Mus musculus: one gene and its partners. The protein of the gene in region 3 purifies or fractionates together with the protein of the main gene of each other region. This does not show direct contact. Links are inferred from orthologs where the notes say so. Each region holds a gene or a part of one and is shown on either strand. Other genes may lie near its edges.

Region 1 (3,500 bases), on a different chromosome or scaffold from region 3:
ACCCACATGGGATAGAAACTCCTTCTTCTCCCAGAAGTCTGCCGATTACGCTGTCATGATGCGGATTCTGTGAACCTGATCATAACTGCCCGCTTCTCCCCTTGTTTCGCCCAGACACCGAGGATGCCAGCGAGACTGACCTGGCGAAGCACGATGAGGAAGACTACGTGGAGATGAAGGAACAGTGAGTAGCCCGGGTGCCTTTTCTCTGGAATACAGAGGCCCCCTTTTGACCTCAGTGCTTGCAAAGCACAGATGTTTCTGTAGTTTCCCTCTCTGGTTGCATCTAGGAGCCTTCCTGTTAGGAGCCTCTTCGGAGGCTAGACTAGCAGGAGCCGTGATGGGCATGGTGGGCTGGGGCAGTAAGGCCGTTAGAATTGCTGTGAAAACTGGTACCCAGGACAATGGGTATCTTGCAGGCCCCCAGCCCCTGTCCTATATTGTGGGTCATATGCTGGGTGTCCCAAGTGTCCTGGGAATTGAGGGAGCAGGCTGCCACCCCCTTTCCTGCCACATTCTGTTTGTTCTCACACATCTTCACGAAAGCCACAGTCAGCTAAAGCTCTGACTGTTTTCTGAGAGGGGTGAGAGCGTTGTTTTGAGACCGGACTAACCTTCAGTTCACAGAATGCAGGGATTGATGGTGTTGTCCCCACGCCTGGCCTTATTATTTTTATTTACTCATTTTTTTTGAGACAGGGTTTCACTGTGTAGTCCTGGCTATCACAGAATTTGTTCCCTAGATGAGCCTAGCCTTGAACTCTCTTGAATTCACCAGCTTCTATCCCCAAGCCCTAGGATTAAACGTGCACCCCCCCCCCCCCCAGCTGTCGTTAGTTTTTAAAAGAAACACACCGTCAACCACCAGCAAGAAACAAATCCAGAGTCTTTCCCTGTTGCCAGACTGGTGTCAGGCTTTTGGGTTCCAGGTGTCCTCCTGCATCAGCCTTCCAAGTAGCTGAACCTCAGGTGCCTGCCCACCGCTCTTGCACCTGCTACCTGATCTGTGCCCAGATGTGTGGTCGCGTAGGGCGTGTTTGAGATAGGGGATCACTTGGAGGTGATCTAAGGCTGCCTTGAACTCACCGCAGTCTTCCTGCTTCATCCCCCAAGTGCTGGGTTACAGGTTTTGAGGCTCCGTGCCCAGTTTTCAGGAAGTGGTGACTGGGTCTATCTCAAGGCTCTTGGTTTTGAACCCTTAAACTCCTGTAGGCTACGTAGTCCCCATTTCTTCCCCTGGCTTCTCCTTTCAAATGTGCATGCCCTTCTCTCTAGCATCGGTCATCTTCAACCCAAAGCAGGAACTCAATTAGGTGTGACCGCTGCTGGGCGAGGACACATTAACAATTCATGTGTGTGCACTCAGCTGCACCTGAAACTCAGCCTGGTCCTGCTGCTCTGCCAGCTTTTTACTGGCTGAGTCCGGCCTGCTTGAAACTTGCTCTCACAGACTCTTCTCCGTGGATGTGATGTCAGTGGATCTGGTGCCCAGCCCCGATTCCTTTCTCATTCCCCAAGTAATCTCTTTGCCTGCTCCCTTTTTGTGGTAGGGAATTGATGTCCTGGGTCTACAAACTTCTCAAACACTGTCCTCGCCTGTCTTTGCCATGTTTTAGAAACAGTTTTTTGTTTGTCTGTTTGTTTTTTAAGACATTTCTTTTTCTTTTATGTGCATGGGCGTTTTGCCTGCATGCTCTGTGTACCATGTGTGCAGTGCCCTCAGAGGCCAGAAGAGGGCGTTGGTTATCCTGGAACTGGAGTTATATATAGACTGTTCTGGAAGAGCAGCCAGTGCCCATAGCGCCTGAGCCACCTCTAGAGCCGGGCGGCCCCTCTCAGCAACAGTTTCAGAGATAAGCGTTTGATTACCGTGCCTCCTTCATACTTACTAAGCTGGACATCCGCTGTGATGAGAACTGCGGCCACTGTGGTGTACCTGAGTTGTGCGTTAGGACTGGTCCCCAGAGAGCAGTCGGGAGGGCTCAGGGACCCCTCACTGTCCTGAAGCGAGGGGTTTGTGCGTTAGGACTGGTCCCCAGAGAGCAGTCGGGAGGGCTCAGGGACCCCTCACTGTCCTGAAGCGAGGGGTCTGTGTGTCTGTTAGCCTTTCTGAGGAGTGAGAGGGTCTTGTTGAACCGTGTTCTCCGAGGCCTTTGTTGTTGCCACTGAGAAACTGGGAGGTTTTCATGGAGAAGCAGAAGCACTGCCCCAGATGTGATGTGCCCGGCCAGCCTCCCAGCCCAGATGGACTCGCTGGTGTGTGGTTGCCTGTAACCCCTCCATGTGCTAGGTGTGAACTGGCCACATTACTTAGTGTGCTCTATGCCCTAGCCTAGCCGGGGCTGCATCCAGCCTGCATTTGCCTTTTGAGCTTGGATTGGCATTCTTTTTTCTTGGAAAGGTAGTAGCTTTCACGTGGTGGGAAGGGTTGTGGGCCTGGTCCTTAACAGCCATGCTGTCTGTAGGGCGGGTGTGCTGAGGGAACCACATCCCACCATTCACAATCCCTTGGAAATCACATTTTTTTAAAAGATTTATTTATTTATTATATGTAAGTACACCATAGCTGTCTTCAGACACTCCAGAAGAGGGCGTCAGATCTTGTTACAGATGGTTGTGAGCCACCATGTGGTTGCTGGGATTTGAACTTCGGACCTTTGGAAGAGCAGTTGGGTGCTCTTACCCACTGAGCCATCTCACCAGCCTGGAAATCACATTTCTGTGTATTCTTCTTGTGCGTTAAGGGGGTTATGCTGTGTTGCACTGTGAGTCAGGTGACAGCTTGCAAGGACCGGTTCTCTCCTGCTACTGTGCTTGCTGGGTCCACAGGTGAATCTCCGGCCATTAGTGCTGGTGGCAAGTGTTCTCGCCCCATTTCCTCAGCCCCCTTTTGCCTGCCATTCTTGGTCTATTCTTGCTTACCTTGTACTGTAGGGATGCGCTAGTGCCTGTGGCTCTCACCCTGTGCAGTTCGCACGGCTTCATGGGTGTGTGTGTGTGTGTGTGTGTGTGTGTGTGTGTGTGCATGCACTTCAGGAATGTGGGGGCGTGTCTCTTTGTGATCCCTTCATCTCAAACCTCTTCAGCCTGACTCCCCTTCTCTGCCCTGAAGACCACCGCTCGCATCTCCAGGTCAGCCCACTCCTCCAACCTGTGCGCTGAGTCTTTCCTCTTTTGCAGGATGTATCAGGACAAACTGGCATCTTTGAAGAGGCAGCTGCAACAGCTTCAGGAAGGTAGGTGTGCCACTGCCCGCGCTCCACAGTGCCCCCTGCTGCAAGCCATTGAAGTCTGTGAGTTTCGCTTCTGTCTGGGAGTGCAGGCGAGGAGGGTTGAGACTGGTCTGTTTGAGTCATCTGTACATGGTCTGCTGTCTCTTATCAAAGAGTGAGTTCCTGACTTTGATATTTCACTGTCTTCATGAAGTGTGGAACACACTCTTGACGTTTCCCTGGGGCATGGAGACCACCATGCCTAAGATAGACTTTGTCTTTTTAAGA
Region 2 (4,131 bases), on a different chromosome or scaffold from region 3:
TCGGCGGCTCCCTGCCACTTAACTTCGAAAGTTTTTTTTTTTTTTTTTTTTTTTTTTTTGCTGAAAGAGCAAAATAAAAGTACAAAGTCTGGGGGATTAGTGCTCCCCTCCCCCTCTGGCCGCCGTGGCCAGCCAAGCACTTTTGGGCTTGGCTTGCTTCCTCTGAGCTCAACAGATTTTTTTTTTTCCCTTTCCCGGTCTCGCCCTCCCTGGAGGGGGCGCGGCGGATGGAAGGCGAGAGAGGCCCCCAGCCAAGAGGTTTTTAATATTACACCTTAATAGGTTTCAGAAGGCCCCGTGGAGAAATGCTAATAGGGCTGAAATGTCAGAACCGAGAGGGATTCAGCTCGCGTTCCGCCGATCTAATCCTTTTTTCTGCTCTGGTTTTTCTTGGCGGGGAAAGGGGGAAGGAGGGGCGCCCACGCCAAAAGGGGCTTTGGGGAGGGGCGCGCGGTGCGCACTCGGCCGCAGAGCCCCACAGCCCGGGTTTCTATAGGAACCTTTTATAAGATGCAACTCACCGCTGCCGACCGCCGCGGCCTGTCCAAAATATTAATCAGTAAAGCCTTCTGACACCGCGTTTCAGGGAGGGGACCCGCAGGCAGGGGCAAAAGGAAAAAAAAAAGGCCTTGTCGCCTGCCTGCCCACCCCACCCGACCGCGACTGCTAGGGGGAAAGGGAATGAATCGCTGCTTTATTTTAAAAGGCGAGAGTGAGCGAGCAAGCGAGAGAGAAGCAGGCCTTGTTATTTTTCGTCTGAACCTCGCTCTTTGGAGTGGCACCCTAGAGAGGGAGCGCCGGGCGCGGGCGCAATGAGCAGCTCGCCGGTTCCCGGCTCTTCCCGGCTAGCTTGTCACCTCCTCCCGAAGAAGGAAGCTGACAGGAGGCCTTGCAATGCCCGGGATTGCGGCGACAACCATCTTCCTCTATTTTGATCACTCAGCCCAGACGCAGGAGGAGGGGCTGGGATGTGGGGGGAGGGAGAAGGAGAAAGAAGGGGGGGGTCTGCTGGAGCTGGTGTGGGGGAGGGCTGCCTAGAAACGGCTCGGAAAAATTCTCACCACCAGTTTTGATCATTCAGCCCCGCCGTGGGGAGCCTGGAAACTGCTGGAGCCCCGAGGTCCGTAATTGGTTTTATAGGAATGGCTGAGGGCCAAGGTGTTTACATGCGCGTGATGGGCGGCGAGCGGGACCAATGCGCTGCGGCCGGGGGCTGGCCCGAAGGGGGGGGCGGGCACCCGGGAACAATGCGTGTTTCTTCGCCTGCGAGGCTCCCCTCCCCCGTCCCCCTTAAGCCCCCCCTTCGCTTTTTTTTTTTTTTTTTTTTTTTTAGATCCAGCGAGAGGAACTTGAAAGGGGGGTTGTGTAATGTACCTTTTCCAATCCCGGGCTGTATATGGAGATTTGGGATTCTTTAAACCGGCGCTACCTGGATTTTATTAAAAAGCGGGGAGCTCGGCGGGAGGAAAGCTGGCTTTTCCGGGGGCTGCGGGAGCGGGGCCGCGGGAGGGCGGAGGAGTTGGCGCGCCGCGCGCCCGGCCCGGGGAGCGGTTTTCTACCAAAAAAAGGAAAGGCGGGCAAAAAGTGTGAGGCGGCTGCGGGTGGCGGAGGGGAGCGGCGGCCGAGGGATGGCGGGCAGTACGGGCGCCTAGCCGCGCCAGGAACCGCGGCGGTTGCCGGAGTCGCCGTCGGAGCCTGGAGCCCGGAGCCCCGCCGCGCCAGGTACGCTCCGGGCCCCGATGCTCCCCGAACTTGTGCAGCGTACCCCTTGGGTCCGCAAAGCAGAAGGTCCCCGAAACAGTCGGGGTCCCCAGAAGGGAAGCGGAGGGCAGGGATCAGGGGGAGAGGACGCATCGCTGCGCCTTGGACTCCCACCCGAGCTCTCAGTCTGCAGCACCGCCGAGGGCGGCGGTTCCCTACTTGGTTCCCGGCAGGCGGCGGGCTAGCCCGGGGACGCCGAGACGGTTTCGATTATAGGCTGTTTTTAATTAAAAGCCGGAATTCAGCCATTTTAGCTGCATTTAAGAGGGGAAAAGTAGAGAAGGACGCAGTGGAACCCCGCAGATAGCCACGCCAGCTTCTCGACCATGGCAAAGGCTGCTCCGTAGGGCTTCACCCCGACTTCCTTAAAGTGGGGCGCCTGGGCTCTGCCTTTTTCAAAACGCTGCCTTTAATGAATATTATCTTTAAGTGTATGCGGGAAGCTCCTGGCGCCTTTGAGACAAGTATCCCGGGCTGTGACGATCCTAGATTTTTTCAAAAGTAAACGCGATTCTGGTAACCAGAGCCTGATAAAGAGCGAGGGCGGGCGAGAGGAAGAGGGGGTGTTGTAACCAAAGCCACGTTAAAATAGGCGTCCTTAGCAAAGTTGGGGGAAGAGGACTTTTGGGTCTGGGCGTAGGGCGGCTGGTCACCCGGGAGCTGTGGCTTAGTCTCCGTCTGCTAGAGCGCCCCGGTTCTCCCGGAACCAGGGGGTCTAGAGTAGCCTGGGGCTGGTAGTCAGGGAGGGAAGGGTGGGCTCTCTGAGACCTCCCTACCCCCTCGGGAACAGGAAAGCGACAGATCTTTTAAACAAACAGCTTAAATAGGACTTACAGGAGGGTTTACCCGATGCTGGGGAGGCGCCCCTCCGCTGGCCCGCGCTGTTAAGTTATTTTTTTTCCTTTGTAGGTTATTTTGGGGGTGTGTGGGTCACAAAGCTAGGGTAGAATTGAGATCTTTGGAGACCCCTTCTTTCTTCTCTGATGATCCCCAAATCCTCCACACCAAGCCACGTTCTCCGGGCATCGGTATTCCCAGGCCCGGGCGTTGGAAAATGAAACCAAATCTTGTTTTGAAGGAGTCTTTTTCCAGTTCACGGGCGAGAATGCCACGTCTCGGGGACTCGGATTCTGCGACTCCCAATGGCCCAACGGGGGCAGCAGGAGGGGGGCGGTGATCTTCCTTTAAAAATAAACCCGTTTCGTATCTGACCTTGGTAAACAACAACAAAAAGCCCCTAAACCGAACACCCCTTTTATTATTATTATTATTATTCGCGGCTCACAAGGAGAAAAAAAAAAGGGAGACGAGGGCCCTAAAAAGGTTAAACATTAAACTTTGCGAATCAGATAGTTGGTATGGCGTTATGGACACATTTCAACCAACTCAAAAGCATTCGAAGTTTTAAACCTCCAGAGCTTGTGACGCCTGAAAAATAAACTACGGGTTTGGATTTAGCTGAACGGGCGCGGTCTGTTGAGTGGCCTTCCCCAGTTAGGGAGAACTTCGTAGGCAAGAGACGGGGCTGGGACACAGCGAGCCGGGCCGCTTCCCTGAGCCACGTCCCTGGGAACCCTGAACTGCTGGAGGAAGGACCCTAGGTTTTCGCATTTCGAGGAGAGGGGGCGGCTACTCCCGATTTTATTTCTGGCCACCAGCTCGGTTCGCTACTCTCCTACCCTGAAGGGCGAGGCGACTTTCTGAAACTTGTTTTCTTTTTTTTCTCTTTCCCCTCCCCTTTTCCCCCTTCCCTCTTCTGTGTCTTCCGCGGTCTTCCCTCACCAAAGATACCGTGTACGCCTCCTTCCTCATCTCCGCTCAGCCGCCCGGAGGGGACTCACCGCGGGCGGTTCATGCGCCCCGGGCCGCGGGCCCGTGGTTGAGCGCAAGCCCCGCTGGCCGCCGCCATGCACGCCGCGGAGCGCCCGCCACCCGAGGACACTAGGACTACATCGAGGCCGAACTTTTAAGTCCCACTGAAGCAGGCCGGCGGGCCGGGTGGGGAGGCTGATCGCGGCACTCCCGCGGAGGATGGATGGCCGAGATTTCGGGCCCCAGCGGTCCGTCCACGGCCCCCCGCCGCCGCTGCTGTCCGGCTTGGCCATGGACAGCCACCGCGTGGGCGCGGCCACCGCCGGACGCTTGCCCTCCTCGGGCTTGCCAGGTCCCCCGCCGCCCGGGAAATACATGGCCGGTCTCAACCTTCACCCGCACCCGGGTAAGTGTTGCGCACTGTGCTAGCACCCACCCTCCAGCTTTGATGGGGATATTAGGGCGGGAGCCCAGGTCAAACCTAGGCGGCTGGAGCTGGGCGTCTCTGTCCGGTTTCACCAGGGTGTGCAGGAGGCTCGCTCAGCTGCTAGCGCAGAG
Region 3 (3,500 bases):
AAAAATAGTTTTAGAAAAATGTGGAGATAATTCCATGAAAAGCAATGGGAGCAATGAAAAGGGAGCAATGTGCTAATAATTAAAACCACTAGTTTCTAATACCTGGGTATTAAGGATTTCATGTTCTTAAAATGAGTTAGTACTGACTGCTTACTCTGCCTCTTTATGGTTTTAGCTGGACAAACCCTTTTGTTCCTAAAAGTGTATTTTAAAAATGTATCCTTATTCTCTGACCAGGAGTGGTCCTCCTGTATTCTTTCTGCATTGTTTTTTTTTTTTTTTTTGGTTTTTTCGAGACAGGGTTTCTCTGTATAGCCCTGGCGGTCCTGGAACTCACTTTGTAGACCAGGCTGGCCTCGAACTCAGAAATCCACCTGCCTCTGCCTCCCGAGTGCTGGGATTAAAGGCATGCGTCACCACCGCCCGGCTCTGCATTGTATTTGAAAACAGTTATCGTTTAACTTGCTGAGGAGGATGGTAGTAGTATACTTAAATATTCTGCCCTGAAACTTAACAGGGTATGTTAACTTTCCAAGAGATACTTGAATAAAATATTGAATACTGAACCATTTTTCATAGTAAAAGCTACATGTGCACACCTGCACTTGATGAGACAGACATTGATTTTGGTTTGTTTGATTGAGTGCATATGTACCTTTCCTTTTTGTTTTTTGTTTTGATTTTGTTTGTTTCAGGAAAAGGGTGCGTATAACCCTGGTTGCCCTGCATCTCTCTGTAGACCAAGCTCGCTTCAAACTCAGAAACTCGCCTGCCTCTGCCTCAACTGCTGGGATTAAAATCGTGTGCCACTACTGCCTGGTGCATGTACACGTTTGAGTGCTTGCATGTGCTGTGGGATTCATGTTGGGGGTTGGGGCAATCGTGAGTGTTGATCCTTGGCATACAGGTGATTATTTTATGTATTTTCTGCTTCTTAGGCCAGGCTACTTGGTTGTGAGTTTCTAGAAATTCTCCTGCTCCTAAGTATATTATATATATGTATGTAGAGCACTTGGGCTGGAGAAATGGCTCAACAATTAGGAACACATGTTGCATTTCCAGGGACCCTAGTTCAGTTCCCAGCACCCACATGACAGCTCTGTAATTCCAGTTTGAGGAGATCCTGTTCTCCATGGCGCATGGCACACACACACTGATATACATACATAAAAACTAAGTGAATTTAATTTTAAAAATACTTTTACTAATTTTGTTTTATGTACATTGGTTTTTACCTGCATGCATGTCTCTGTGAGGGTGTCAGGTGCCCTGGAACTGGAGTTACAGATAGTTGTGGACTGCGTGAACTCGGGTCCTTTAGAAGAGAGCAGTCAGTGCTCCCAACTAACCGCTGAATCATCTCATCTCATCTCTAGCCACCTCCTCCCCACTCTTTTTCAAGACTTATTTATTTATTATATGTAAGTACATTGTAGCTGTCTTCAGACACTCCAGAAGGGGGCGCCAGATCTCCTTACAGATGGTGATTGCTGGGAGTTGAACTTAGGACCTTCGGAAGATCAGTCAGTGCTCTTAACCGCTGAGCCATCTCTCCAGCCCTCCTCCCCCCTCTTTTAAGGCAGGCTCTCACTGTGCAGCTTTGACTGTTCTGGAACTCACTATACAGACCAGGCTGGCTTTGAACTCAAGAGATTCATCTGTCCCTGCCTCCCAAGTGCTGGCTGTTAGTGGTGGCATGCACTACTACATCTGGCTTAAAGATTTTTTAATTGGAATACATTGATTTGATTGATTGGGTTTCTTTAAGCTAATTTTTTAAATTAAGAAGTTTGTTTCTTTATTCATGTTTTCATCAAATCTATCCTTATCCTTTCTACCACTCTCCCAACTTCAACTGCCTAAGTTCCTTCATTTCCTCTCTCTCTCTCTCTCTCTCTCTCTCTCTCCCTCCCTCCCTCCCTCCTTCCCATGGTACATGCCTTTAATCCCAGCACTGTGGAGGCAGAGACAGGCAGATGTCTATGAGGCCAGACCAGTCTACAAATTGAGTTCCAGGACAGCCAGGGTTGCTTAGTGAAGTCCTGTCTAAAACCAATACATAAAATACATAGTTTGTTTTTAATTCTTTTAAGATGCTACTGAATCCACTTAGTGCTACTCACTTAAACGTGGGTGTAGGACCACTACCAGAACATTAATTTTATATCTGAAATGTACTAGAGAAACAATGGAAAGACTATGTTAGGATCGGCAGAAGTTGCATTTATGAACCATAAATGGATGTGTTTTTCTCCAAGAGAAGTCTCCACACAGAGTCCTCACGAATGCAAAGCATGATGACTTGTTGATTTCCTGTCAGGTTGCATGAGACTCGCTCAGGAGACATCTGTAATGCCTGTGTGCTGCTTGTGAAAAGATGGAAGAAGTTGCCGGCAGGATCAAAAAAAAACTGGAATCACGTTAGTTCATCTTTTTCTATCTAAAACAATGTTAATATCACCATCCCCAATTTAGGAAATTCTGTATCACCGGGATAGAAAAGGCTAAAAGAATAAAGAAAACCACTAGCCTGGCGTGGCATTTCCTAGACTAGTAGTAATTCTGATTTAGACACAGTTCCTCTTCACCTTCAAGAGTGGCATGCTGCTTTGAACTCATGACGCACAAATTTAGTCTTGTTTGCCTTTTGTGTTTACTGTTTGCTAGTTGTAGACTTCTGGCAGGTTATAAAGCTTTTAGCTGTCCATAGAGATACTCTAGGGCCTAAATGAGATGGTGCCTATAAAAGAAAAAGCTAGATGGTGCTGTTCTATATTTATGCTGTGATCAAGTCAGCAATGTAGATGTGGATTTTGTTGGCCTTTTTGCTCCTGTCACTAGAATTTTCATAATAGGTCTTTTTAGATATATTTGCAGTTTTGTAAAATTATATCTACTTCTGTGTGTATTCCACCTGTGTGAGTGAACCAGAGGGGACTATGGGACCCCTTGGAGCTGAAATTGCAGGCAGTCGTGAACTACCTGGTGCTAGGCATGGCTGTCTAGTCCGCTGGGAAGCAGACCTCTCATAATTTAACTTAGATGACATGAGCAACACTTTTTATTTTTATTTATTTTTTAAAGATTCATTTATTTTTTTATATGTAAGTACACTATAGCTGTCTTCAGACCAGAAGAGGGAGCCAGATCTCGTTACAGCTCCATGTGGTTGCTGGGATTTGAACTCTGAACCTTCGGAAGAGCAGTCGGGTGTTCTTACCCACTGAGCCATCTCACCAGCCCACTTTTTATTTTTTTAAAAGATGTTTTTATTTTAATATGTATGAGTGTTTGTCTACATGTAATATACAACATGTCCTTGGTGCCTGCAGAGGCCAAAAGAAAATATTGGATCTCCTGGTACTGGAGTTAGGTGAACATTGTGAACTAAACTCGCTTCTGCAAGAAACAGCAAATTTTCTTTTTTAAAGATTTTATTTATTTATTTATTTATTTATTTATTTATTTATTTATTATATGTAAGTACACTGTCGCTGTCT
Region 4 (3,500 bases), on a different chromosome or scaffold from region 3:
ACCAGGCTGGCCTCGAACTCAGAAATCCACCTGCCTCTGCCTCCCAAGTGCTGGGATTAAAGGCCTGTGCCACCACTGCCCGGCTGAAGTTTTTTTTATTTGGTGGAATTTGGACATTTTGTTTTTGATAAAGCTCCTCATAATTCTATATAAATCAAGGTGATGGATATTTTTGTTGTTGCTGTCATTGTTTTTGAGAGTCCCCTCCCATCCAGAAGTAAGAAAAAATTCTTCAATGGAATCAGTTTGAAGTACATTTTCAAGGATTTTTCAATTAAGAGTGACAATATGGTGGGTGCACTGTAAAAATGGTCCTATACATAGTTTTGGATTAGAGATTATAGGCTAATTTTAAAGGTTTTATGGATGGTTATGGGTCTAAAGATTTCTGGGATTCCTGACTTCTTCAGTACTAGAAACATGACTTCCTGCCTGCAGGCTTGGGGAGCTGGGAGTAGCTAAGGATTTGGGTACGTAGCTCAGTGGTAGAGCAAGCACAAAGTGTTGGGTTCAGTGCTGCCATCAAGGTGGATTGGTAGGGCTCACTTTAAAGCCTTGGACAGTCAAGTCTCTAGGCTAAGCGGATACAGAATGTGAGGTAAGGAAATACAGATTAGAATGATACTTACAGACCAAGGTACCAAGGCTCTTTAAATAAGTTTTCAAAATCTGTATTGCTAGGTCCACTGGTCTCCACATAATGAAACTATTCTGGCCTCAAGTGGTACTGATCGCCGCCTGAATGTGTGGGATTTAAGGTAATTTAGGATCTGGTGACAAGGAACTGCATAAATGTGTCAATCTAACAGATTACATAATAGAACTCATAAACCAGGAAAGCAATTTGCTGATCCAACTTCAATAAACTCCTAACTACCTTAAGAGTTTCTGTTCTGTGATAGAAAAGTAAATCAGCAATTAACATAAATTGGTCATGTATTTTGTATGAGTGTTTTGCCTGTGTGTGTAACACATGTGTGCCAGGTACTCATATCAGATCCCCAGAACAGGGACTATGAGTAGTTGTATAGGGATAGTACAATGTGGGGGCTGGGACATAAACCCTGTTGTGCATCAGCAACAAGTGGCCTTAACTGCTGAGCCACTACCACTCCAGCCCTATTTCTTTGTTGCTCAAGTCTTTGTTATGTGTGCTTAGCAAATTAAAATACCTTTTGCTACAGTTCACTAGGGTTGTAGCTCAATGATAGAGCTAGCATACACAAGGTTGTGGGTTCAGTCTCTAGTACCACAAGCATTAAAATACTGTCAGTGTCTCCTTGCATGTAGCATAGAAAAGAGAATTGTTGGATTGAGTGTTTTCGCTTTCATTTTTTGTGACACAGGGCATTGTGTAGCTCAGATCAGACTGGCCTCAAACTCATGATATTCTTGACTTTTCCTAACAAATCTTTCTTTGGCTTATACTTCATTAAAACCACAGTTAAAAAAGAAATTGAACTAATGTTTATTATGAGCAATATTTCTTCATTGTGCAGCTTTAATTTATTAGTGGCTCCAAATGAACAACTCACAATAATAAAGAATACTTAAGTCTGTTCTCAGCATTCTTGATGCTGCCACCCTTTAAAGTTCAGTTCCTCTTGTTGTGGTGAACCCCCCCAACCATAAAGTTATTTTTCTGGCTACTCCATAACTGTAATTTTGCTACTGTTATGAATCATAATATAAATGTGTGTTTTCACGCACCTGTGAAAATGTCGTTTAGCCCACACAGAGTGGCAACCCATGGGTTGAGAAACCTGTCTTAAGTACTTCTCATAGAGAAATACTTTCTGGGTTAATAAAACACACATGCATGCTATAAGACTTTGCAGTAATGAAAGCTTTATTTTCTTAATAGTAAAATTGGAGAAGAACAATCAGCAGAAGATGCAGAAGATGGGCCTCCAGAGCTCCTGGTATGCATTAGATTAAATGTCATATTATGCACACTTGAGTACTTTTTTACTAGACTATTTTAGGTCAGTCAGAGCTTCAAATTTTAGCTTGCCAGTGATTTCAAAAAAAAAAAAAAAAAAAGGAAATCCAGGAAGTTTTTGTGATTAGGCTCTGTAGGCTCTGACATTTATTACAAATGGTAAATGGAGCCCCAGAAGTTTCTGGAAATGTTTCAGTGAGGGTAACTTTAAGTTCCTATTGATTTCAGGTATGGTGTTTTTTGAGGCTTGTTTTGTTTTTGTTTTTCTGCTGGGAGGGGGATTGGGAGGTAGTATCACTGCTGTTTGATTACCAGCATGGTTTTCTCTAACCATATGGAAGTTAACACTTTTCTGTGAAATACTGACAGGCTTAGTAGTAGCTCTTTGTCCCTTTTCTGAATTGTTCACCATGTGTCTCCTCCAAACATTTGGTCATTGTCTCTAACATAGGTGAGAATTTATGGTGCATGAATTTTAAGGTGAAAAAAACCCTTTGAGAGTAAGTCCAAGACACAGAAGGTGTTCACTAGTGCTAACCTTGTGCAAGCTCCCTTGTCTCTTTGGCTTCTGTGCACAGTAGCGCCAGGCAGAAATGAGCAAGAGAAGGATAGGGGATTTTTAGACCAGTGTGTTTGACATTTATATCATTGCTGCTTTAAAAAATAATTCTATAACCCAGGAGGCTCAAGCAGGAAGGCCATGAGCTTTGAGGCCATGGCGGTGGTGGGGTAGGGGGATGAGACATTGAGTGTGTGGTATACAGATGGTAGTGTCCAAAATACTTTATTGTGCCTGACTCTTAGCCTTCATGATTTTTTTTTCACAAAGGCCTTTTGTCTACAGCTAGTTTTCTCTGTGTATATATTATGAATTTGCAATAGTTTTATAGTCCTTAAGGAACACCATTATGGGGCTAGTGAGGCAGCTCAGCATTTAAATACCTACTGTTCTTGGCAAGGGGACCAGAATTCAGTCCTCAGTACTCATGCCAGGTGGCACACAATGCCCTATAATTCTAGCTCCAGAGAGATCAGACATATCTGGCTTCCATAGGCACTGTACTCATATATATATATATAGGCATACATGCCCATATAATTGAAACTTTTAAAAAGTCTATTATGGTACTCATAAGAAAGCTTGAAATCAAAGGACATTTAAATTTAAGACTAGTAAGTTGTCAGTGAAGAGAAACGGTTCAACTGATAGAAGCAAGCTTGCCCCCCCCCCCCCCAAGGAGAGAAAAACACGAAGTTATTTATTTGTAAAGCTGTTTACCATACCATTTCACTTATGTGAAATTGTTGCTTTTAGTTTTTTCTGTAGCCAAGGCCTCACTCACAGAGATATGTGTGCTCTGAGATATGTGTGACACCCCCCCCCCATCTTGGTTTGTTTATCTCAGTTTTTTTAAAACTGATAAAGCTGTACTACAAGGTTTGTTAGGCATAGTGCCTTGTAGAAAACAAGATCCCACCCTTTTACATTTTTGGGGAAAGTTTCATTGGCCTATGCTGCAAGTCTGGACCTTAAAGTATTTATTTTTGCAACCCTGTT
Region 5 (3,500 bases), on a different chromosome or scaffold from region 3:
TTGAGAACCTAAGAACCAATTCCAGGGCTGGAAGAGTCCAGTTCTGTGAGCTGGAGAGAGACTTATTGAGCTATCCTCTCTGAGCAGTAACACCAGACTCATAAAGTAAACAAAATGTACAAGGTTCAGGAAATAAAGGAAATAGAAAATTCAGAAATCCCCTGAAATTTAAATTAGAAACCATCTCCACACCCATCCCCACCAAGGATGAACTTGAATTTCTGATCCTCTTCTAAAAGGAGAAACAATTTCTGGGGAAAGTACTCTCTCCCATAGGTCAAGCTGCCCTCTGGCTGTGCAGGAGCTTCAAAGACTCAGGTTTTGTGTACAGTGGGCTTTTCACTGCACTGCCTTTGGGTTGCTCATGTTCCTTAAGTGACCCCAACACACATAATGGCTCACTAAGACTTAACTAGAATCATTTCTTTGGTTTGCTGTCAGTGTATCAAAGGGATGTTTGTTATTGTCTCTGAAGGAGAAGCCACACAAGACTTCATGTTAACTTGGTCCTTTCCACTTCAAAGACATATGTTTATAAACACTGCTATATATATGGTTAAGCTGCTTTTCCTTTTCCCATAGAAATCTTGCTTTTCCTTTGTGACTTTTAGCTGAGAACACCTTCCCTTGGTAGCGCTAACCTCCAACACACCCTCTCACCTGTCTGACGATGCTCTGGATTAATTTGTCCATAGTAAAGGCAATGTAGGCATGAATGGTGAACATCTCTCTCAGTGAATCTTCATACTGTGATGAGTCTATGTTGCCATCAAGCAGGCTCCGCACCATGTCCAGGAAAGCTGGGTAATAATCTTCTACATCAACATCCACTACAGGAAAGATTAGACAGGTAAGACTGTACTCTGCTAAGACAAGCTCGAGGACAGAGAATACAGAATCCCACAGCTGGCCTATATACCATCTGAAAGGACAAAATACCAGATATGCAAAAACATGTCCAACTTAACCCACTACAGAGATGACATCTAGTAGGCAGCTATAATCACCAGAACTGTCCATCGAAGAACCAACAGTGACTCTGCAACTTCTAACAGTCGCTTCCAGCACAGACTGACTGCTAAAAAGACACTTTGAGCACTGCTGAGTTCTGTCACCTGAGAGCAAAATATCCCAAGAGAGTCCTTCAAGTTGCTGGCTCCTTCACTTACACAAAACCATTTCACAAAGGGGACAGTTGCTCATGAGTGTACCTCAATGAAGAATAAAGTATGGACAAGAGAAGACAGGCATAGGTAGATGCTACCACACTTGGAACTCTTGGCTACAGAAGTTATTCAAATTAACCCCTCTATGAAAATGAATAACTCTGATTGTATCACAGTCCCTTTGCTTAAAATAGATTTGCAACACTGAACTCCAGTAATTACATTAGATGAATTGTATTTGTTGCACATGAAACATTTAACCAGTAGCTGGAGTGAATCTTACTAGTAAAAGGACATAGTAACTAAGAAGGGCACCAGGAGCTCATGTATGTATGTATGTACATATGTATGTACGTATGTATGTATGTACATAATCCCAGGGGCAAGGGGATTGCTGGGCCAGCCTAGGCCACAAAACAAGTTCTGGGACAGTGAGCATTTTATAGCAGTAGACCCACTCTCAAATACAAAAAAAACTCATTTCTAAGTCTGAAAACCAAAATAGTAGAACAAAGAAGTTACTGGGGCTTGGCTTTATTTTCTTGACCTCTTTTTTTGACTAAAGTATGCTCATTATAGAAAAATTTAGAGCCATAAAATTCTATTTGTGGGGCAGGAGATACGGTTCAGTGGATAAGAGCCCCTGCCCCAGCACTCATGTGAAAGCCTGGCTGTCACCACCTGTCACCTTAGCACTGTGAAGGTCAGCAGAGAGGAGGATCTCTAGGGGGCTCAGTGAGACGCTGTCTCGAGAAGGAAGGTACATAACACAGTGGCCATAGCCTTTTCTAGCCTCCTTGCACATAAGGCACATGCACCCCACACAAATGCAGATTCTCATTTGTGTTCCTTTTTGCATACAGGTTGCACATCAATAAAAATTTGATCAAAAATGTTAACTACAAAAAGTACACTTACTGATTACTGGCCATCCATTAGTAAGGAGAAATTAGAAAGGGGACAAATGGGGTGGATCTTACAGGCAAAAACGAACAATCACTGCTTAAAACAAGTTACTGGTTTGAGTTGTGTCACACTACATCACTTTGTCTAAGCCCAGGAAGCAGGGAGCTAGCCTTTAAAATATACTAGGATAAGAGTCCAAACCACAGATTTATAGCCACAAACTATGACTGGCATGAAGTTGGCACTATCACTCAAGAATAAGCTGCTTCAGCATAAGTCCAGGATAAGACAGTGATCAAGCCCAGATTTATATTTGTAAATTCTACTTGTTTCTTCCAAGCTAGGACTAAAACAGATAAAGGCTTTTCAAACAGATTCCTGGTGCTATTAGTTCAACAGATAAGAAACTAGGTTTATACACAGGACTCCTACAGCAGTTATTTACTATTTCGTGAAGAGCAAAGAAGGGAAGCCTGTGAGGATGTGTCTGGCTCACAGGTTAAGCACCCAACTTCAGAATGAAAGCATTATGTGGAAGGAGGCGGCAGAACCCAGCATACAGCCAATGATAGCTAGCTTCTTAAATGAGCCTCTGGGCTTCCTTTCCCTTGAATCCTGTCTATCCCTTTGCCTTGTCTCAAACCATCTTGAGTGCCAATTCCTCTTCAGAAATATCAGGAATGAACCAAGAAGCCCATTAAGGAGATGCTAACACACATCTGAAAAGATTCCTTATGTGCCATAAGCATAACAAGGAATTTCTATGTTATGAATAGAAAGAACTGTGACGTTTCTTTCTCATCTGAACCACTGCTCACTAACCTAGCCAATGGATCCCACGTCCCTCATGTGTCCACAGTGCAAACTAAACACCTCACATGACCATGAACCGGATACTGTACAAGGTTCCATGCTTGCATCTTTCTTAAGCCCTCAAGCAACCACAGAAAGTGACAAATACTGCCTCCATTTTTTTTTTTTTGGGGGGGGGGTTTCATTCATGGGTTCAAGGAAGGTTACACAACCAGCTAAGTTGCAGAGGTAGGATACGAACCCTAGTTCCAATCTAAGGACTAAGTGTACTTCAAGGTAAGGTGGCCTTGAAGCCAGCCATCTACCCCATGCATAAAGCTGACAGTCTAAGCACTCACTAGGTTCCTTGAGACGTAGTTGTATGGCAGGACTATCACTCTTGTCTCGCTTTATGCCTAGCACCTCCCGTTCCCATTCTCTCTCTCGGTTTTCTTCTTCAATTTGCCGTTCAGCTTGGGAACAAATCCGTAGCAGCCTCAAGCAGAGAATTTGATGCAGTCGCATAAAGATATACCAATTGTTATTGACATAGAAAAGGTTATATACTTCATCCATCCCTCTTAACTTTTGAGCTGCTGTGTTACTAAATAGCAACTTGGACTTAGGGGGGCTGCC
Region 6 (4,083 bases), on a different chromosome or scaffold from region 3:
TTGTTGCCCTCCAACTCAATATGTAGACCAGGCTAGCCTCTAACCCAGGCTGTCCTTGAACTACTGATCCTCCTTCCACCAATGGGAAGTGGAAACAGTCACGCACCCTCACACCTGACTTACCTACCTACTTCCTTCCTTCCTTTTTTTCTCTTCAAAAAGAAAAGTTTTTTTTACACAGAAAATGAAAATTAAGAAAAACAAAAACATATTGACATCTTCAACTCAGTACCTCCCTTTCAGACAAACATTTACTGAGAATTTAAGATGTGCCAGACATCACAACAGGAACTAACAGATTACAACATTTATTCCAAATGTATTCAGCTTCCAAATGTATTGTGCAGTATACATTTATCAGTTAACCTAAAGCTTTCCTCCAGTCATACCCAACAACAAGACAGATATATGCTTTCCCTAAAAACTTCACTTTGCCCTAAGACACTCACTTTTCACTATTTCATACAGGTTGTACATCTGTGACAAACAAAAAGGTTCCACCTCTCATACAACACTGGTTACATTTTCATTCATATGAAAGACAGGAACTTAGAAAATAAAAGCCAAGCCTCTACAGAGCCCCAAACTCAAAAAGAGGAAAAAAAAAAAAAAAAAAAAAAAAAAAAAAAAAAAAAAAACCTTTAAAAGGGTCTAAACTGCTTTGTACAAGAGACAAACACAAAGTGGCAACAGCATTTGTAGTCTACAAACAGAAGCTTTTGAAACTGTACCTGGATGCAGTCCTACAAAAGCAATCCTCACTGGATTAATTAAAATTTAAAAAAAAATTAATTAAATTAAAAAAAAAAAAGAATCCCAAAAGAACTGTCAAAAGTAGATGTCATTTACATTCTAACACTTCAATACACACGCTTTCCAAGCATATCTGAATTTGTAGTAGATTTTAAAGAAAAATTTTCCAGTATCAAAGTTCCAACAGTTAAATCTAGATATTTTCAGATACCTAAAGCTTTTCATACCAATATGAAAAAAAAAAAAAAACTAAAACAGCTGTGATTTATTCCATCAATACACAGACTACTTCTTAGACACATTTCTTAGAAGCTATTCTGTGGTCAACATGTTTACTTCAGTACAACCTGCCCATTACACACAACATATCTTAAAAGAGTCAACTCCAAGATCAGTACACCAACAGTGAGAAAAAGAAACCATACAGAAACCTAAGTCCCTAGAAATACAAGGCACAGCAGGCCAACTCGGGTTTCTTTAGGGAAGGAGCACCAAACTGCTTTAAACATCTTCAGTATTTTGCTTTCTGCTTAAAATTTACGGTCCCGGTCACATAATCAAATGACATTTCCTTTCATCATTGAACAGAGAGAGAGACCCACTACAGTTTCAATATTCAGGTTACTAGACCAGCTTTCCGTTTTACGATTTAAGACGCTTTAATGTGTGCAGTTGTTCCTTCGGCTCCATGCAAAAGGTGCTGTTCTGTTTGGGAAACCTGAACAGCTTGGGTGAGGTTATCTCCTAACTGACTCCATAACTTCGAAACACACAGCCTGTGGATGTTCGCTCCAGCTGACCCTGTCAGGGAAAGCTCCACACCGAGCCACTCCACACACACACACACACACACACACACACACACCTGCCTCTGCAAAACTCGCAGGCCTGCTACAGCCCCGACACTTCCTGAATTCGAAAGCCACTCAAACTGGCTAAGTGACGCCTTACCTTCATGGTGACTCTGGGGCCGCGATCCCCACGGCGACACCAGCTTCACCTGCACCTGGAGGGGAAACAAAGACACCGGGTCAGCACCACCGGCACCACCACCACCCCCGCCCCAGGCCGTAGGGGCGGGGGCGGCACCGAGCGGGGCCAGGAGCCCCGAGCAGGCACGCGCCATCCCACCGCCCCTACCGCCCCCACCGCCCGCCGCCCCATTGTCGCGACTCCACGGACTTTTCCCCCGTCCTCCACGATGACGCCATTTCTGTCAGAAGAAAACTCACAACAAGCCCAGGGTCCGGCGCGGCCTGAAGCGCGGCTGCGACCGTCCAAGCCTACGGAACCGCGATGCCCGGAGCCCCCGGACTGAGCCCTCGGTGAACCGGCGGGCCCTTGGGCTGCGGAGGCTCGGCCCCACAGCGTCCGCCCGCGTCCCGCCCGAGCCAAGGCCCACAAGTGGGAGCCGGGACCGGGCACCGAGGACATCCAGCTCCCAGCACGGCGGCCCGAGGCCGCCGGGCCCACGGTGCGGCCCGGGTAGGGCGGCTCCGGCTCGGCGCGGCGGGGGGCGGGGGTCCCAGGAGGCCGAGGCCCCGCTGCGAGCGCCGACTCAGCCCCGTTGCCATCTGCCCCGATGCGCGGCCCGGCCCGGAGCTTCCCCCATAGAAAAGAATGTCCCTACCTCGGGCACAGACGAGGTCTGAGCCCTGCGGCCAGAGCCCCCTGATCCGCCTCCCCCCACCCCCAACACCAGCAGGCCTGTGGGGAGAGAGAGCGAAGGAGCTGCGGGTCCGCCGGCGGCCGGGACTCCGGCTCCGACTCCTCCTCCTCCCGTGGCGGCGACTGGTACCTTTGTTTGGCGGCCGCTCCGGCTCCCTCGCGGGGGGAGGGGGGCGACAAAAAAATCCCTCTCGGACGGAGGTCCGGGCCCCGGTCTCACAGCCCTCCAGAGGAACACGGCGGCCGACCTTCAGCGGCTCCCTCCGGGCAGAAGTCCAGGCGGTGGCCGTCGCGGCGGCAAACTGCGGCTCGAGACTCTCCCTCCGCTCCAGCGCCCGAGCTCCTCACTCCGGACTCGACTGACGGGCAAACATCGCTTTCCCCCCTCTCTGGCCCCCCTGCCCCTTCTCCCCTCCCCTCGGCCCTTTGCCCCTCCCCTACCTCTTTCCCGGATGCCTCTCAGACGACCTAGGATTGGGTAGGATTCTTTGGAGCCCGCCTCTTCCAAGTTTCTATTGGTTTGAGCGATGCAAACAACGACGCCATTTACCCACCAGTTCTATGGAAACAGAAAGTTATCCCTCAATACTTTCTGGGAATTGTAGTCCAGTCTTCTAGGCCAATCGGTAAACTGACGGACATTAGAACTACCAAGACCGCAATGCCCACTTGCCTGCGTTCGACGAGAGAGGGGAGGGGAAGGAGGCGCGGCCATGAGGCAGAGGGGAGGTGGCATACGACGCCTGCGCAGTGTGATAGGGATGGCGTATTTTCTTGCACTGAGTGCTGCGGCGTCGCTGGCCGCTGAGGAGGGCAGAGATTTCTGTGTGAAATAGTGGGAGGGCTCCAAGGAAGCCTCTTGAAGAGCCGCAGTCAGAACAATAAATTGAGAAGTCGATGTGGGCACTGCTAGTCTCGTACCGGCGGCGGCTTCAAGTCTGAGATCATCGTGGAACCGTGAGCAACAGCGCGGTGGCAGGGGGGACCCGGATGGGGAGCGGGGGAGGGGGCGGTACGGAGGAGGAAGCAGTAAGGAGGGAGAGAGGACCCGGATGCTGACCCGGCTCGGAGTGACTGCCGGCCGGGTGCTGGGATGAGGGGAGGCAGAGGAGCTCGGAAAGAGTGGAAGGGCCACCGGTGCAGCGCAGGGAAGAAGCCCGCCTGCGAGCTTATTACAGCTATGCCTGTGTGGAGCCCTTTCTTTTCCTTCAGAGCCATCGCCCCCCGGGGCTTGGAGTCAAAGGTTCTTGCTATGCGCCTAACAGCTGAGCTCGGTGACCCATATCTGTGTCGCTAGTCTCAAGCCAGAGCCGGCCTATTTTAAAAAGAGAGAGAGATACTTTGCATGAAATTTTCAATATTGTATGAATGTTTGATGCTCAGAGTTCACCCTCTGAGATGTTAGAAGTCCTCATGTGGAAAGAGGGGATGTATAACTTCCTGAACGGAAGTCTAGTCAAAATGAAACCTGATAGGAGGACCTTTGGCTTCGAGAGGTATAGAAAGGTTTTCCTGAGAGTGTGAGAACTAAGCTTGACTCAAGAAGCCAGCCAGAGTTACTAAGGGAAGTCCCTAAAGGAAAGGAAACCTGTTTCAGGAAAAAGACTTCCCAGTAGGAAGAACTGAGGCCCAGAGAGGTGAGGTAGGAATTTTGATCCAGTA
Region 7 (3,500 bases), on a different chromosome or scaffold from region 3:
AGTAGTGTAGCGAATTTCCTCATGGACTACACTTTCTACCTCCCCTCTAGGAGCCTGTTTTGCTTTGAGTCTGGTTACAGGTCTAGAAGAAACTATTGGTGGGCCGTGAGCAGACTCTGCAAAATTAATTTCCTCATGTGGGGAAGGCATTATTTCAAGAGGTGGGGCTGAGGGTACTACTTCCTCAGGTGGGGCAAACCCTTGAGAATCTGAGGATTCAAAATTCTCAGCTTCAACATGGTCTTCCCACACATCCCCATCCCATGTTGTAGGATCCCATTCTTTGCCAATTAGAGCCCTTACTTTAACTGTCGACACACTCTGAGGCTGAGACTTGAATTTTCGCTGTAGTTCAGCCAATCTTACAATGAGAGTTTCCGTTTGATTTTCTGCAACTTGAGCTCTATTGCTACAAGAGAGAAGATTCTCCTCAAGGACACACTTAGCAACTTTTAGATTGTTTACTTGTGTCTGGAGCCTTTCGATTTTATCACACAACTCCTTCCTTTCATTCATCATTTTTTCCACAGATACTAAGAGCAGCCAGCCAGTAAAATCATTTTTCGATTTTTTCCCCATCTTGTAGAAAGCTTTGTGCACTGAATCACCTAATTCATTAAGAAAATCAAGGGCATTAGCTTCTTTAAGTTCGGAATATAGTTTCAACCATGGGTCTTCAAAATTCTCTGAGCTCCCAGGAGGGAGAGAATCTGTAGAGGTTTCAATAGTTGAAAGTGCTGGTGGATCAACAAGCCAATTCCAGAATTTTAAAAGATTCATCCTTGTACTTCTGTTACTCTAGAACCACTCCTGGTACCAACTTCTGTATTAGTCAGGGTTCTCTAGAGTCACAGAACTTATGGATAGTCTCTAGATAATAAAGGAATTTATTGATGACTTACAGTCGGCAGCTCAATTCCCAACAATCGTTCAGTCACAGCTGTGAATGGAAGTCCAAGGATCTAGCAGTTACTCAGTCTCACGCAGCAAGCAGGCGAAGGAGCAGGAGCAAGAGCTAGACTCCCTTCTTCCAATGTCCTTATATTGTCTCCAGCAGAAGGTGTAGCCCAGATTAAAGGTGTGTTCCACCACACCTTTAATCCCAGATGAAAGGCGTAGCCCAGATTAAAGGTGTGTTCCTTAAACTCGGAGATTCAATCTTCTGGAATCCATAGCCAATATGGCTCAAGATCTTCAAACCAAGATCCAGATAAGGATCTCCAAGCCTCCAGATAAGGGTCACTGGTGAGCCTTCCAATTCCGGATTGTAGTTCATTCCAAATATTGTCAAGTTGACAACCAGGAATAGCCACTACACTGACTAAAAGAGACCATTCCCAGTATAAACACATGTTTTGCATACTTTTAACACCACAACAAACCTTTTCTTTTCTTGAAGATTCTGAAATGCCTTATATTTAATTGCTTTGTGATAATTTTAGCTGTTGCAGTTCTAAGTAAAACTAATAGGCATCTTTAGATTAAAATGAAGGCGGGGTGGGATGGGGGTGGGGGGAGGAGGCCGGTAGAGTTCTTGCAGTGCAAGCCTCCACATCTGAGTTTAATCCCATCATATACAGACAGACAGAGAAGTGACTGCACAGGCTGTTCTCTGACCTCTACATACATTTGATGGCATGTGCATACACAGATATGTGCATATACACACACGTGCACGTGAGTACAAATGTTTCGCACGCGCGCACACACACACACACACACACACACACACACACACACTAAAAAGAATGAAATTATTTTCAGAACATAATAAACCTCACGCATTTTTGGAATGGCTCAAATGATCAAGTCCCGAGTCTGTGCTGGGCAGGAACGGACAGCAACAAGCACCCGCAAGGTCACGGGTGCTTGAGCACCGGAGGCCGAGCACCGGAAGTCGAGCGCTGGCAAACACCCACCTGCTCCGTTCTTTTCAGTTTTGGCTGCAGCACTTGTCCGCTTTGGGGTTCGCTTTTGCTTTTTTGCAATTAATCCACTATTTCCATCGCTTGGCCTTTTCTGACCTGAAATAAAGGAAAAGCTTGAAAACAGAAGCAGAGGCAGACAGGTCCGTTTACACACCTGTCCATGCCATTCCACTATTTTCTTTTCTTTTTTTTTTTTAATTTTTAAATTTTTTAAAAAAGATTTATTTATTATATGTAAGTTACACTGTAGCTATCTTCAGACACTCCAGGAGATGGAGTCAGATCTTGTTACAGATGGTTGTGAGCCACCATGTGGTTGCTGGGATTTGAACTCAGGACCTTTGGAAGAGCAGTCGGTGCTCTTAACCGCTGAGCCATCTCTCTAGCCCCCCACTATTTTCTTAAACAGACAATTGTAAACGTCTGTCATAGCCAAGCCCTGACTGGCTCAGTCCCCCGCAAGTCTTACCCTTCTCTCTGCTCTCTCGCTCGTGTGCAATTATACTACAGGCACCAGAGGCAACACTGGCTTCAAACCCGTTCGCCGATTCCCTCTCACAGAGGCCTTCTTGTGATTCTTCGGCGATGCTATCAACTTCAATTGTAATGTCACTCTCACTCTTTATACTTCGGGACTCGTCTTGGCTGAGAGTGAGTGGGGAAGCTACGGAAAAGTTATGCTGTGCTACAGGAGGTAAGGCAGGTGGTACGGAAGCCAGAGAGTTAGACTCAGAGCCTTCTACTACCACATCCTCAATACTGGTCTTATCCTTCTCATCTAAATCATCCAGGTCTACCTCATGGCAAACCAAGGTTTCAGGCCCGATCAGAGGCATCGCATCCTCCTCTTCTTTGAGTGGCGTGTGCACCGGTTCTTCTTCGGCTGGACTGTCCGATTTCTCACTAGTCAGTTCTTGAAGGCCCTGGTCGGGCTCGGCTGTCAGCGATGGCATCCCTTCACCTTCTGTTTCAAAGTGCTGTTCCACGTGTGCGCCTTTCATGCCCTCGGCTCCCGCGCCATCGTCAGACCTCTCTTGGGACACTCCAGTTGTCATTTCCATGCCATTATCAAGTCTCAATTTTTTTTCTGGGGATTGCTGTCCCAGGATTTTTCGTTTCAACTTTTTTTCTTTCTCATATGGGTCGATGTCATCTTCAGTAGAAGAAAAGTTTTTACATTCTAGTGAAGAAAACTCCAGGCTATGAACGTCCCCATGAGCTTCGCTGCCTGCTTCCTCCTGGCCGAAAGGTGAAATCTTTATAAGTTCTAACGAAAGGTCTTTTGTCTTGCTGCGCCTTCCCTTCCCTTTGGGAGACTTTTCCACCTGTTTCTTAAATTCTTCTACTTGGTCCACTTTGTCTCCAAAAATATGCACAATTTGATCGCTGTCCCCTGCCTCCACCGTCAGGGTGTCTGAGGGCTGTGCCTGAGTCCTGTCGTTTTCTTTTGATATATGTACAATCTTTGGGTTTTCTTCATCTAGTTTATCATCATGTGCATTTTCATTTTTTTCCAATTCTTCTTTGACATCAGGAGAAAGATCTTCACCCCCTGAGCTCTTCTCCAGCTGG

The links.
Region 1: the proteins of Sinhcaf (region 3) and Suds3 purify together in Homo sapiens (affinity purification with mass spectrometry; 3 studies listed by BioGRID and IntAct, counting the BioPlex papers as one, with this or other methods). This does not show direct contact. The link is inferred for Mus musculus from reciprocal best matches to the Homo sapiens genes SINHCAF and SUDS3.
Region 2: the proteins of Sinhcaf (region 3) and Tnrc18 purify together in Homo sapiens (affinity purification with mass spectrometry; 3 studies listed by BioGRID and IntAct, counting the BioPlex papers as one, with this or other methods). This does not show direct contact. The link is inferred for Mus musculus from reciprocal best matches to the Homo sapiens genes SINHCAF and TNRC18.
Region 4: the proteins of Sinhcaf (region 3) and Rbbp7 purify together in Homo sapiens (affinity purification with mass spectrometry; 3 studies listed by BioGRID and IntAct, counting the BioPlex papers as one, with this or other methods). This does not show direct contact. The link is inferred for Mus musculus from reciprocal best matches to the Homo sapiens genes SINHCAF and RBBP7.
Region 5: the proteins of Sinhcaf (region 3) and Sin3a purify together in Homo sapiens (affinity purification with mass spectrometry; 4 studies listed by BioGRID and IntAct, counting the BioPlex papers as one, with this or other methods). This does not show direct contact. The link is inferred for Mus musculus from reciprocal best matches to the Homo sapiens genes SINHCAF and SIN3A.
Region 6: the proteins of Sinhcaf (region 3) and Arid4b purify together in Homo sapiens (affinity purification with mass spectrometry; 3 studies listed by BioGRID and IntAct, counting the BioPlex papers as one, with this or other methods). This does not show direct contact. The link is inferred for Mus musculus from reciprocal best matches to the Homo sapiens genes SINHCAF and ARID4B.
Region 7: the proteins of Sinhcaf (region 3) and Arid4a purify together in Homo sapiens (affinity purification with mass spectrometry; 3 studies listed by BioGRID and IntAct, counting the BioPlex papers as one, with this or other methods). This does not show direct contact. The link is inferred for Mus musculus from reciprocal best matches to the Homo sapiens genes SINHCAF and ARID4A.

The regions. Positions count from the first base shown.
Region 1 is NC_000071.6:117,109,494-117,112,993, reverse strand, and holds part of Suds3 (sin3 histone deacetylase corepressor complex component SDS3), read left to right. Parts: intron 1-114; coding exon 115-184; intron 185-3,180; coding exon 3,181-3,236; intron 3,237-3,500.
Region 2 is NC_000071.6:142,814,863-142,818,993, reverse strand, and holds the start of Tnrc18 (trinucleotide repeat-containing gene 18 protein), read left to right. Parts: upstream 1-1,331; 5' UTR 1,332-1,722; intron 1,723-1,743; exon of another isoform or gene 1,744-2,277; intron 2,278-2,677; exon of another isoform or gene 2,678-3,548; 5' UTR 3,549-3,792; coding exon 3,793-3,979; exon of another isoform or gene 3,980-4,131.
Region 3 is NC_000072.6:148,929,471-148,932,970, reverse strand, and holds part of Sinhcaf (SIN3-HDAC complex-associated factor), read left to right. Parts: intron 1-2,320; coding exon 2,321-2,420; intron 2,421-3,500. UniProt on the Homo sapiens protein: Subunit of the Sin3 deacetylase complex (Sin3/HDAC), this subunit is important for the repression of genes encoding components of the TGF-beta signaling pathway.
Region 4 is NC_000086.7:162,773,872-162,777,371, forward strand, and holds part of Rbbp7 (histone-binding protein RBBP7), read left to right. Parts: intron 1-681; coding exon 682-758; intron 759-1,864; coding exon 1,865-1,922; intron 1,923-3,500. UniProt on the Homo sapiens protein: Core histone-binding subunit that may target chromatin remodeling factors, histone acetyltransferases and histone deacetylases to their histone substrates in a manner that is regulated by nucleosomal DNA.
Region 5 is NC_000075.6:57,110,876-57,114,375, reverse strand, and holds part of Sin3a (paired amphipathic helix protein Sin3a), read right to left. Parts: coding exon 3,224-3,500; intron 831-3,223; coding exon 661-830; intron 1-660. UniProt on the Homo sapiens protein: Acts as a transcriptional repressor. Corepressor for REST. Interacts with MXI1 to repress MYC responsive genes and antagonize MYC oncogenic activities. Also interacts with MXD1-MAX heterodimers to repress transcription by tethering SIN3A to DNA.
Region 6 is NC_000079.6:14,062,501-14,066,583, reverse strand, and holds the start of Arid4b (AT-rich interactive domain-containing protein 4B), read right to left. Parts: upstream 2,801-4,083; 5' UTR 2,552-2,800; intron 2,542-2,551; exon of another isoform or gene 1,986-2,541; intron 1,760-1,985; 5' UTR 1,711-1,759; coding exon 1,705-1,710; intron 1-1,704. UniProt on the Homo sapiens protein: Acts as a transcriptional repressor. May function in the assembly and/or enzymatic activity of the Sin3A corepressor complex or in mediating interactions between the complex and other regulatory complexes.
Region 7 is NC_000078.6:71,074,967-71,078,466, reverse strand, and holds part of Arid4a (AT-rich interactive domain-containing protein 4A), read right to left. Parts: coding exon 2,398-3,500; intron 2,025-2,397; coding exon 1,920-2,024; intron 1-1,919.